3 linked regions of the Neodiprion lecontei genome follow. The protein of the gene in region 1 purifies or fractionates together with the protein of each later gene. This does not show direct contact. Links are inferred from orthologs where the notes say so. Each region holds a gene or a part of one and is shown in the gene's direction. Other genes may lie near its edges. The genes, in order: valine--tRNA ligase, elongation factor 1-beta' and elongation factor 1-gamma.

The links.
Region 2: the proteins of valine--tRNA ligase (region 1) and elongation factor 1-beta' fractionate together in Homo sapiens (co-fractionation; 3 studies listed by BioGRID, with this or other methods). This does not show direct contact. The link is inferred for Neodiprion lecontei from reciprocal best matches to the Homo sapiens genes VARS1 and EEF1B2.
Region 3: the proteins of valine--tRNA ligase (region 1) and elongation factor 1-gamma purify together in Homo sapiens (affinity purification with mass spectrometry; 6 studies listed by BioGRID and IntAct, counting the BioPlex papers as one, with this or other methods). This does not show direct contact. The link is inferred for Neodiprion lecontei from reciprocal best matches to the Homo sapiens genes VARS1 and EEF1G.

Annotation. Positions count from the first base shown.
Region 1 is NC_060261.1:2,226,010-2,229,767, forward strand, and holds the start of valine--tRNA ligase, read left to right. Parts: upstream 1-893; 5' UTR 894-912; intron 913-1,162; exon of another isoform or gene 1,163-1,461; 5' UTR 1,462-1,532; coding exon 1,533-1,697; intron 1,698-1,854; coding exon 1,855-2,028; intron 2,029-2,124; coding exon 2,125-2,252; intron 2,253-2,348; coding exon 2,349-2,513; intron 2,514-2,587; coding exon 2,588-2,789; intron 2,790-2,862; coding exon 2,863-3,151; intron 3,152-3,216; coding exon 3,217-3,341; intron 3,342-3,430; coding exon 3,431-3,576; intron 3,577-3,661; coding exon 3,662-3,758. UniProt on the Homo sapiens protein: Catalyzes the attachment of valine to tRNA(Val).
Region 2 is NC_060260.1:30,773,532-30,776,828, reverse strand, and holds elongation factor 1-beta', read left to right. Parts: upstream 1-1,421; 5' UTR 1,422-1,498; coding exon 1,499-1,578; intron 1,579-2,068; coding exon 2,069-2,499; intron 2,500-2,573; coding exon 2,574-2,728; 3' UTR 2,729-2,779; downstream 2,780-3,297. Other genes in the region: NADH-ubiquinone oxidoreductase 75 kDa subunit, mitochondrial, read right to left, coding at 421-585. UniProt on the Homo sapiens protein: Catalytic subunit of the guanine nucleotide exchange factor (GEF) (eEF1B subcomplex) of the eukaryotic elongation factor 1 complex (eEF1).
Region 3 is NC_060265.1:25,265,877-25,269,634, reverse strand, and holds the start of elongation factor 1-gamma, read left to right. Parts: upstream 1-1,087; 5' UTR 1,088-1,133; coding exon 1,134-1,145; intron 1,146-1,271; coding exon 1,272-1,421; intron 1,422-1,594; coding exon 1,595-1,658; intron 1,659-2,039; coding exon 2,040-2,182; intron 2,183-2,701; coding exon 2,702-3,004; intron 3,005-3,248; coding exon 3,249-3,536; intron 3,537-3,684; coding exon 3,685-3,758. Other genes in the region: actin-related protein 10, read left to right, coding at 1-141, 252-587. UniProt on the Homo sapiens protein: Probably plays a role in anchoring the complex to other cellular components.

The DNA of each region.
Region 1 (3,758 bases):
GTTATAATTTAATATTATGAACTTTTGATTTAGAAGAATAAGATTCCCGGTTGATATATCGTTGTGTTATGGATCGTGATCTTTGAGTTGAATATAAGTTTTAGGAAAGAAATAAGAATCGAAGTCCTACGACGTGATTCTTCACAAATTCAAAAAAAATAAATTGAAAAAAACATGAAAAATCAAATGAGCACGATCTTCCACATAACGTAGATCCCTCATATTTTCCCAAAATCTTTCTTTTAAACTTTCAATTCAAATACACGTACACCAGTTAAACCGAAAACTGCATTCGAGGACCTACAGTTTACTGAACAGAATACCGAATCTCGAGATATACCGCAACGATTGCACGGAACACATATGCACTTGCTAATCTTACAATTAATTTTTTGCAACACCTGCGTGGAAAGTCCATTTTTATGCACCATTTACAAGCACCGAAAGTAGTCTTTTATACACATGTGCGGGAAAAACTTTCGCGCATTACTAGGGGTGTGAGAAAAAAACCTTCGCACATTGCCGGCGGTATAAGATGAACCTTCGCACATTGCTAGCGGTGTGCGAAAAAGACCGTCGCGCTTTTATCCACAGTTGCGTATTTCGCAAACAGCTCCACTAGCCCTACCGATGGAATAGTTTGTCACTCTTTGCCGTGCTCGACATCGCTGCATCGTCACTAAACAGACATCGTGCCGTGGTTTCGTGTAAAAATAATCGTGTATGTCGGACTTTCCATTACAGGTGTAGCAAAAAATAGAGTTCGATACACGTGCGAAAGTTGGCAATGCCTATCTCGCGTGAATGCGCCACACTCGCCCTTCAACTCGTCTCCAGGCTCGTGCTGCGCCTTCATGCTTGTGCGGGCATTGCCACCTTCGCGCACTAGTATCGAAAAACACTATTATACAGGCAGGTCACATAATGTACAGTTCATACAATTGGTTGCGAATTTCAAAGGTTCTTTACATTGATTCGTCTGAATGACGGGCCGATAAGTACTGTACAAAATTAAAAAGCTTCGGTTCATAAATTTGTGCGATCTAAGTTGTCTTTGACGCTGCAAAATTATTTAAGGATTTGGAAAAAATTATATTTCAAGCTTATAAGCTATTCTCGAAATAACCTCAAACCTATGCATTATTTTCAGTGCACCTTGTTACTCTACTGATGGATATAATTATTTTCTTCTTTCTATATTCAGACGGAACTGTATAAACTCTCATTTCTAAAGAATTACATTACACAACACAGTGCGACTCGGCCTAGCTAGCGAAGAATCAAATAATTGTCCCATTTTTGAAACTCGCTTGATAATGGATTCCGTCGAAACAGCGAATCACATAACATTGCGCCTGCAGCTTTTGCAATCCTTTCTGTTCTCACATCAGCTAGACAGCGTGCAGGCCACGCGGAGTAATTGGTTAAGTTTTCAATATTGACATTTTCGGGGATTTTCAGCGAGGCAGCGAATAACACGCGATACCGTAAACTGAGAATTATTTATTTGTTTTGAATAATTTGCAATAAAAATGGTTGAAACGGCAGCAAACGGAGCCGAGGGAGAGGCTGCGAAACCAAAGACAGCGAAACAGCTTGAGAAAGAGGCTAAGAAGTTGGCTAAATTGGAGAAGTTCAAACAAAAACTAGATAAAAAAGAAACCACTGCTTCAACTAAGCCCAAAGAAAAACCTGAGGTAATTTTCGCATTCACTTTATTTAATTCTGCCTGATTGTTAACTGCAACAATGACGTTTCCATAATCCATATGGTTTCCTGTCGCATTCACATACTTGGATCGCCTTGGTTTTACATGAAAACAAAAAAATTCATTAAGGTATACACGTTTTGCAGAAGGTTGAAAAAAAGCTGGAAAGCAAGCAAGCAGTATTATATACCATAAACACTCTAGAGGGGGAAAAGAAGGATGTCAATTGTCCGATGCCTGATGCCTACAGCCCTCGTTTTGTCGAGGCAGCGTGGTATTCCTGGTGGAGAAACGAGGGTTTCTTCAAACCCGAATATGGAGTAAGTTTGGTTAAAGTCCTTCAGTGATAAATTTGTTGTGTCTGACATCGTACGCAGAGGAATTCAATTCACATTCATCGTATACCACGTTTCCAGCGTAAAAGCATCAACGAAACAAATCCCAAAGGCACATTTGTCATGGTTATTCCACCACCTAATGTCACTGGTTCCTTACATCTTGGACATGCACTGACAAATGCGATCGAGGATGTAATTACCCGATGGTAAGTCGATAGTTTCTATTATAATATATTTTTTAGTTGTTCAAATCATTTTTCCTTCCTCCTTGTAACATAGTTGATTTACCATTCGAACTTCAGGAATCGTATGAAGGGGCGAACGACACTTTGGAATCCGGGTTGTGATCATGCTGGAATAGCGACTCAAGTGGTAGTTGAAAAGAAATTATGGAGGAACGAACAAAAGACACGTCATGACATCGGGAGGGAAAAATTTGTGGAAAAAGTTTGGGAGTGGAAAAATGAGTGAGTGCAACATGACCTGGTTTTTGGTACGATGTATCTAGGTGTTAATTTTATAATTTTCTACAAATCTGCAGAAAAGGAGATCGAATCTATGAGCAACTTCGTAAACTCGGGAGCTCCTTTGATTGGGATCGCGCTTGTTTCACAATGGATCCAAAACTCTGCCGCGCTGTTACCGAAGCTTTCGTACGTCTGCATGAGTCAGGGGATATTTACAGGAGTAATCGTCTTGTGAATTGGTCTTGTACGTTGAAAAGTGCAATTTCCGATATTGAGGTAACAATTGTTCCTATTTCCTGTCTCATTACATCTCAATGGTAATAAATAAACTGATCATTGTCGTTCCAAGGTGGACAAAATGGAGCTACCTGGCAGAACTTTTCTCGCTATTCCTGGCTACAAAGAGAAAGTTGAGTTTGGTGTTCTCGTATCATTTGCATACGAAATAGAAGACTCAAATGAAAAGGTTGTGGTTGCTACAACTCGTATTGAAACAATGCTTGGAGATGTTGCGGTCGCAGTACACCCCAAGGATGCTCGTTATTCTCACCTGATTGGTAAATACGTGAAACATCCTTTCTGCGATAGAAAGATACCGATCATAACTGACGATTTTGTGGAAATGGAATTTGGAACAGGTAAATTATCATCTTTGCTACTTTGAAAGAGAACATCTTGGCTTAATTCTCGTTGCATTAATTAGGCGCTGTGAAAATAACACCTGCGCATGACCCTAATGATTATGAAGTTGGAAAGAGGCACGACTTGCCATTTATAACAATTTTTGATGACGCGGGAAATATCATCGGAAACTATGGCAAATTCACGGTACTTATCATCCTCAATTCAAATAAACTAAAATTAATTATATGATAGTTGAAGTGTTGAGAGATTAGTGCATGCTTCTATCATTTCAGGGTATGAAAAGATTCGATGCGCGAAAGGCTATTCTGCAACAATTGACGGAAAGAGGATTATATATTGAGACCAAAGACAATGCAATGGTTGTACCAATTTGTAGTCGATCCAAGGACGTCGTTGAACCACTAATGAAACCGCAGTGGTTGGTAAATCCTGTCTACATTTGATGACATTTCTTCACTCTTTAAGAGAAGCTTGATACACGAAATTATATCTTGCAATTATAGGTACGTCAAGTGTGATGAAATGGCTGCTGATGCTATCAAGGTTGTTGAAAATGGAGAGTTAAAGATTATTCCAGAGCAGCATAAAAGAACTTGGAAT
Region 2 (3,297 bases), on another chromosome or scaffold:
TCAGACACTTGTATATTTCATTATTTTGAAGTATCTCATACATTGTTTTGAGTTGCATGAAGTTGACTTGTTTCGTCAATTTTGTTGTAATCCTATAAATCGATATTTATCTTCCAACTGGGGACAAACATTTTCTACTTAATTTCTGCATTAAACAATTGCTTTTCATGGTCATAATACCTTCATTTTCTGCTCATTCAGCGCAATATCAAACTTTGGTCAGTATTTATGAATTCTATTTATTAATCAGCACTGTTATGTTCATAGAGATCAATGTAAACAGATGTCGGAGCAAATATTCTTTCTATGCTGTTCGAGTTATGGTTTAAAAGAGATCAACTAGCCAGAATCTAGAATTCTAAAATTCTTTTCAATGTAAAATTGGAGTTTATAAGAGGGGACATGTGAAATTTCGTGTACCTGGAGTACAGTAGTTCCTGGATCAACTAGCACAGGGATGTCGTCAATAAACACCTCGATCTGCTCAGGTGGGGCTTGCAGCTTACTGGCTGTGGTATGGAGTCCAGTGGCACCAAGCCTGCATCCCGACAGACCAGCCGCTCTAATCAGTGGAAGCCGCAACATTTTCTAAAAATCAATCAACAAATCATGCTGATTTTTGTTATATAATAAAACAGTCCTGTAACGCAAAGGTATTTGGCCGATGTGTTAACCTAACTCACGATGTTGTAACAGAACCGATAAAATGAATATACATGGTTGAAGTGACGTAACACTTTGCAAGAGAAACAATGGGGACCAAAAATTGCAAAATGATTTTGTTATAACTACCGATGATAATTGGCCTATAAATTATTGTTGAAAAATCAAACAATTACCGAAGTCAAGAAAAACGAAGTCCCTTACCTTCAGGTGTCAGGACTGTCGCCTTTCAGAGCAGACAGCTTGGTACAATCATATGGAGACTGGTCGAAAATTTGAGAAAAAAATTACAAGTACGAGAAATTGAGTGCAATTAAATTAGTTTACTCAAAAAAAAATCTATCAGCAGATGACGGGAGCTAAGCACGAAAAATAGGCGGAATTGCTTAAAATGGGTTTATGTATGCAATTGTATGTTAGAATTTACTTTGCGCAGTTGACGCAGAACAAAAAGGTAAAATCAGATGCGAAGTCCATTGGTTAGACGAATTTGTCCAATGTTGTTTTTTTCCGTAACGCGTTTTGTTCTACACACCAAGTGGTTCTATTGCAGGTGATTTCTAAATTTAAAAAAATATCTATATAAATTAATACGTCCTCTGCTTGAAATAGTCGCAAGAATTCTCAAGTAGCATCGACTTTTCCGGTTGTTCTTTAGCGATTCGCGATTCGATTGGCAGAAACTCAACCGGAAATGCATCACTCATAAAAAGTAAAGTATTGTCCGGACTAAATGAACCCTGCGTATCAGCAGCTCTCTCTTCCGGCGAGTAGACTAGAGAGGCAGACTGCCGCAACTTTCGTATAATATTTATTAATAAAATACACGCTCGCAATGGCCATTGGTGATCTTAAGACTGACAAGGGTTTGAAGGAGTTGAACCGTTTTCTTGCCGACCGCAGCTACATCGAAGGGCAAGTATATTATACGGGGTTTCTGTGCATATTTTAACTCACGTGTTCCACTTGTCGGCATGTAAAGTCAACCTCTGTCGGTCTCTTCCGTTTCAGTCACCAATCTTATTTATTATCCGTACAGACGAAGATTCACTGACATAAATTTTTTTTTGTTAATAATGTCTCCTCACATCGTCATGTTTCATTCGAATGTCAAGACTTTCTAGTCGTTCGCAACGATATTTTTGCATGCTAAAAGTTATTAAGATTGGCCTGTCAACTATCACCTTGCCCACCCGGCTTTGCAACTTCGGAACTCGTTCCATATTCCCCAATTCGAAGATTCCAAAAATAAATCTGAGCGAGCTATCTGATGCAACATATTTTTGTGATTCGCCAATTTGTGGTTACGTCTTATTTTCATTGATGAATAGTTTTATTTTATATTGTATACATACATTACAACAAATTATCGTTGGAGTTCTAATACGTTGGCACTCTTACGTAGATGGCAACCTTCGCAAGCGGATGTCGCAGTGTTTGAAGCTTTGGGGAACGCTGCATTGGGATCGAATCCCCATGTCCAGAGATGGTACACACACATCAAATCCTATGAACACAAGTCTCTTCCGGGCGTGAAAAAAGTCCCTTCCATCTTGGGTGGAACTGAGACTGCTCCACCGCCCAAGGCTGCCAAACCAGCTGACGACGACGATGATGTAGATTTGTTTGGATCCGACGAAGAGGAAGATGCGGAAGCTGCTAAAGTTAGAGAGGAAAGGCTCAAAGCGTATGCAGAAAAGAAGTCCAAAAAACCTACATTAATTGCCAAGTCCAGTATTGTGTTGGATGTCAAACCATGGGATGACGAAACAGACATGAAAGAAATGGAAAAGCATGTGAGGTCTATTTCTATGGACGGCCTGGTTTGGGGTGCTTGTAAGTATTCTCTGCTTGTTTTTGGTAATGATTTTCGAATGAATTGTTTTAATTGAGAATATTGGAATTTCTAGCAAAACTCGTGCCTGTGGGATATGGAATCAACAAGTTACAGATCATGTGTGTTGTAGAGGACGACAAAGTTTCCGTCGACTTATTAGTTGAAGAAATCCAAAACTTCGAAGACTTTGTACAGTCAGTTGACATTGCAGCCTTCAACAAGATTTAAATATCGTCTGCTCCGTCAATATTGAATTAATAAATATTAATTGTTTGTAAATACAAGCTGTTACTTTATACTCCTAGCGAAATTCCGTTACCGGTCTTAAATCTAGTGTGCTAATAGTTATTGTTTTTCCTACCTAAGTCGTATGTATAATTGTTGCGGATTAGATCAACTCATCTAATACGACTCTTCCTATAAATTACTATGAAAATTACTGCACTCAACTAGCAATAAATTAATATTTGGCCAGGTATATTATTCCGTCTGAAATGAAAATTTCAATCTTTTCTTTTTATTTAAATCTTGAAGATCCTGGTGAACCTGAGCTATCATTCATTCTAAGCTTTATAGTATTATACTGTTTGAAGGGTAAACAGCCAAATAACTTGTAATCTTTGATTGACCACACTCATTTACAGTCAGAAAGATAATTAATCGGTGTATAAGAACAAAGCTGGACGAGTATATAAGTGGCATCAGAAATAGCAGTTGCATATTGCTGGGCTAGTATTTTGCAGATTGATCTTTTGAATTATATGTTCTCACGTAATCTAATCTTGTCTTACAAACGA
Region 3 (3,758 bases), on another chromosome or scaffold:
GCACCTCCATCAGTTAAATATCCTGGAGTCAAAACTATAACTGTACCCGGATCAGTACGTGAAAAAGCTTTCGAATTATTGTGGGAGCGAGACAATGACAATTTGAGTGTACCAACCATGATACTAGATGCTATAGTGAAGGTAACCATTATGTACTAATAATGTGAATATTAGATTGATTAATTTTATTAGATTTCTTTCCAAAAATGTGACCGCTTACCAATTATTCTGTATTTTATTGTTCATTGCAGTGCCCTGTAGACATGAGACATCCGCTTGCTGAAAATATTCTGCTGATTGGAGGAACGACAATGGCAAAAGGATTTTTGCCACGTTTGAAATCTGAACTTTTGACATTACTGAAGAGTAACTTATATTCTGAGAAATTAAAAATAAGTACAGTCAAGTTTCATAAGGCACCAAGCAAAGCTAATTACACAGCATGGCTTGGTGGTGCTATATTTGGTATTGCAGATTTGCCACTACGTTGTTTGACGAAAGAAAATTACCTCATGTCAAACAGAGTCCCAGATTGGGCAAGCTTAATTGATAATCAGAAATCAGACTCATTGATAAATAGTATGTAAACTATTATGTCTACCTAATTCGTAAAAAAATTAACCTGATACCTAATGTTCTTATAAAGTTCCAATTTTCAACAGTGAGGTAGTAACCCAATTAAAAATCGTTACTCAAAATTAATGTTTTTTTTTTTTTTCTTGCATAGAATTTACTTTATTCTATAATGTCACAAAACGGTTTAAAATGATATGTTGGAACGAGATGGTCTTATTTTTAGCAGTCACGAGGAACTTCAGATGCCTGTAATGTAAAATATATTTAATAATTTATAATTCGTATAATAAAGAAATTGTAAGAATAAAAAAAATCGATCACATTCATACTTTGTATCAAACTAATTTCATCTAATTTTGGTTCGACCTAGTTATATATGTTTTATTGCGGAGAAATGTGTACGTGCACCCACTGAGATTTGTGATATTTCCCGTCGCCGGGTGACAATTCGAGAAATAGTGAAAAAAAAGAACAGCTGTGAAGGAGAAAGGCGCGCAGGCGCTTCGTCATGAGCCGGCTTTCGATCTCTAGACTTCCTCTTCCTGTAGCTCGGCACAATGGCGTCCGGAGTAAGTGTTTTTACGCGAAATATTCTTCGTAAAACATCACCGTCTTGTTCGACGAATCGGTCACGTGAATGCGTGCAATATGACAATTAAACATCATACATTTATATGGCGTGTAAATTTTTTTAGACCCTGTACACGTACCCAGAGAACTTCAGGGCCTACAAGGCGCTGATCGCAGCCCAATATTCCGGTGCTAAGGTTAAAATTGCCGAAGATTTCATTTTCGGCGAAACCAATAAGAGCGATGCCTTCCTGAAAAAATTTCCTCTTGGAAAGGTGAGATTAATTTCTATTTTGGTTACATTTTTTTTATACGTCTATCACTGAAATATCATCAGTCATCGATGGATTCTGTCTTAAGTCTTATCGCCGTGGTATGCTGACACCGCTTTATGTCACGCATATTTTACTGCCGACGTGTTTTTAATAACGCCGAATGTTTGTTGAAGGTTCCAGCTTTCGAGACTGCTGATGGCAAATATATCACCGAAAGCAATGCAATTGCTTACTATGGTATGCATAATCAACATTTTTACCCTCAGCTAAAAATATTTTTTCTCTTTATTGTTTTCATTCGTTGTTGTTTTTTTTTTTATCTTTTTCCTTTTTAATTAATTTTTACAATTCAAGAATAACATATTATACGTTGTATGCATTCTACCTCTTAATTAATTTCAATACGTGATATTTATTTAAATATTTGTCTTCTGCTTCAATTTCACATCAGTATTGTGAGCTTGATGCTGAATTATACATATACTTTGGGTGACAGATAGGTATGAAATTTTCACGTTTTATGACATACAATTTCCGAAACAACTGGTTTTAATTTCTATCATTTATTGTTTTTGCCGATCTCTTTGCCAAAAGTTTGTGCTATTTTTGTGTTTCTAGTTGCCAATGAGCAGCTGAGAGGCAAAACTGACATTGAGAGAGCAGAAATTGTGCAATGGTTTGGATTTGCCGATTCGGAGATCCTTCCTGCCAGCTGTGCTTGGGTTTTCCCATTATTAGGCCTCATGCAATACAACAAACAGGTATGAAATTCTTGTCCACCGTAAAACAAAATTTTCTTATTTTACAAAGAATTCAATGTTCATGATATTTTATTACAGTTTAGATTTGGCTAAAGTTGTTCTGCAAAACTGCATAAACATGAGAAATCCCATCATGGCATTAGTTTGACATTTATCACATCGCCTTTGTTCAAAGACGAGCCTGAATGTTTTAAATTCAAGTTTCGTAACACGAGAAGGCAGATGAATCTATGCTGAATATTCAAACGCATCTGTCATTCTTTTATACATTTGCGTACCAATATTGCTGACATTGAAACAAATAATTAGCTACCTTACTATTGCGATGAATGTTTTCATATGTTCTTCAGCTTGCATAATACGTTTAACGTTTTACTTCTCTTATCCCCAAAAAAAAAAAAAAAAAAAAAAAATTAAATAATATCAAAACTATCCAGTGTTTTAAACATTGTACAGGTACTGGGTGTATCAGAGAACATATTAGCAAGGATTTTGCAATTTTCGTAATTAATCTTTCAGACTATAGAACATGCCAAGGACGATGTTAAGAAAGCTTTGACAGCTTTGAATTCACATCTATTAACAAGGACGTACTTGGTTGGGGAACGACTTACTTTGGCAGATATTAGTGTTGCTACAACTCTACTGCATTTATATCAGTATATTTTGGAACCGAGTTTACGCAAGCCGTATCAAAATGTGAACAGATGGTTCCAAACTGTTATATATCAGCCAGAGTCCATCAATGTAATCGGTGCTTTTAAACTGGCTGACAAAACTCTTGAATATGATCCCAAGAAGTTTGCTGACGTTCAAGAAAAAGTGAGCAAAAAATATAGATATACAGTATTGTTCATGTGAAATACCATTTATTTATAAAATACTACCTTATTCCAAAATATGTTGCATGGTACTATGAACTTGTGGCTTTAGTCAGCAGCTAGTAGTAATTTCGAAGTATTTTATCATCAATAATTAGCAGTCAAAGTATTAAATAACCGTTCATCTTCAGTTTGTCATATACCGATCTACTACTGAACAGCTTTCAAATATTATGAATTTTTAGTCATCTGCAAAGAAAGAAAAGAAGGAAAAACGAAAGGAACAGAAAAAGGAACCTAAAGAACCTCGCGAGGCAGATGTAGATTTAGCTGATGAAATAGCAGCTGCTGAACCCAAATCTAAGGATCCATTTGACACAATGCCTAAAGGTACTTTTGATATGGATAGTTTCAAGCGTTGTTACTCCAATGAAGAAGAGACTGTCTCCATTCCTTTCTTCTGGAAAGAATTTGATCCTGAACATTACAGCATCTGGTTTGGAGAATACAAATACCCTGAAGAGTTGACAAAGGTAAACTCGTTATACTGAATTCTCTGCCGGGATTTGAATTTCATTCAGTTTTTCATGTAGCAAGAATATTTTTGGAGATATTATGAATTACCTACGGTTAAAATATAATCATATTTAAGATTGTATTCGTTAATCTTACATTGTCCAGGTGTTCATGTCTTGCAATCTCATTGGTGGCATGTATCAACGACTTGACAAAATGCGGAAAGCTGCTTTTGCCAG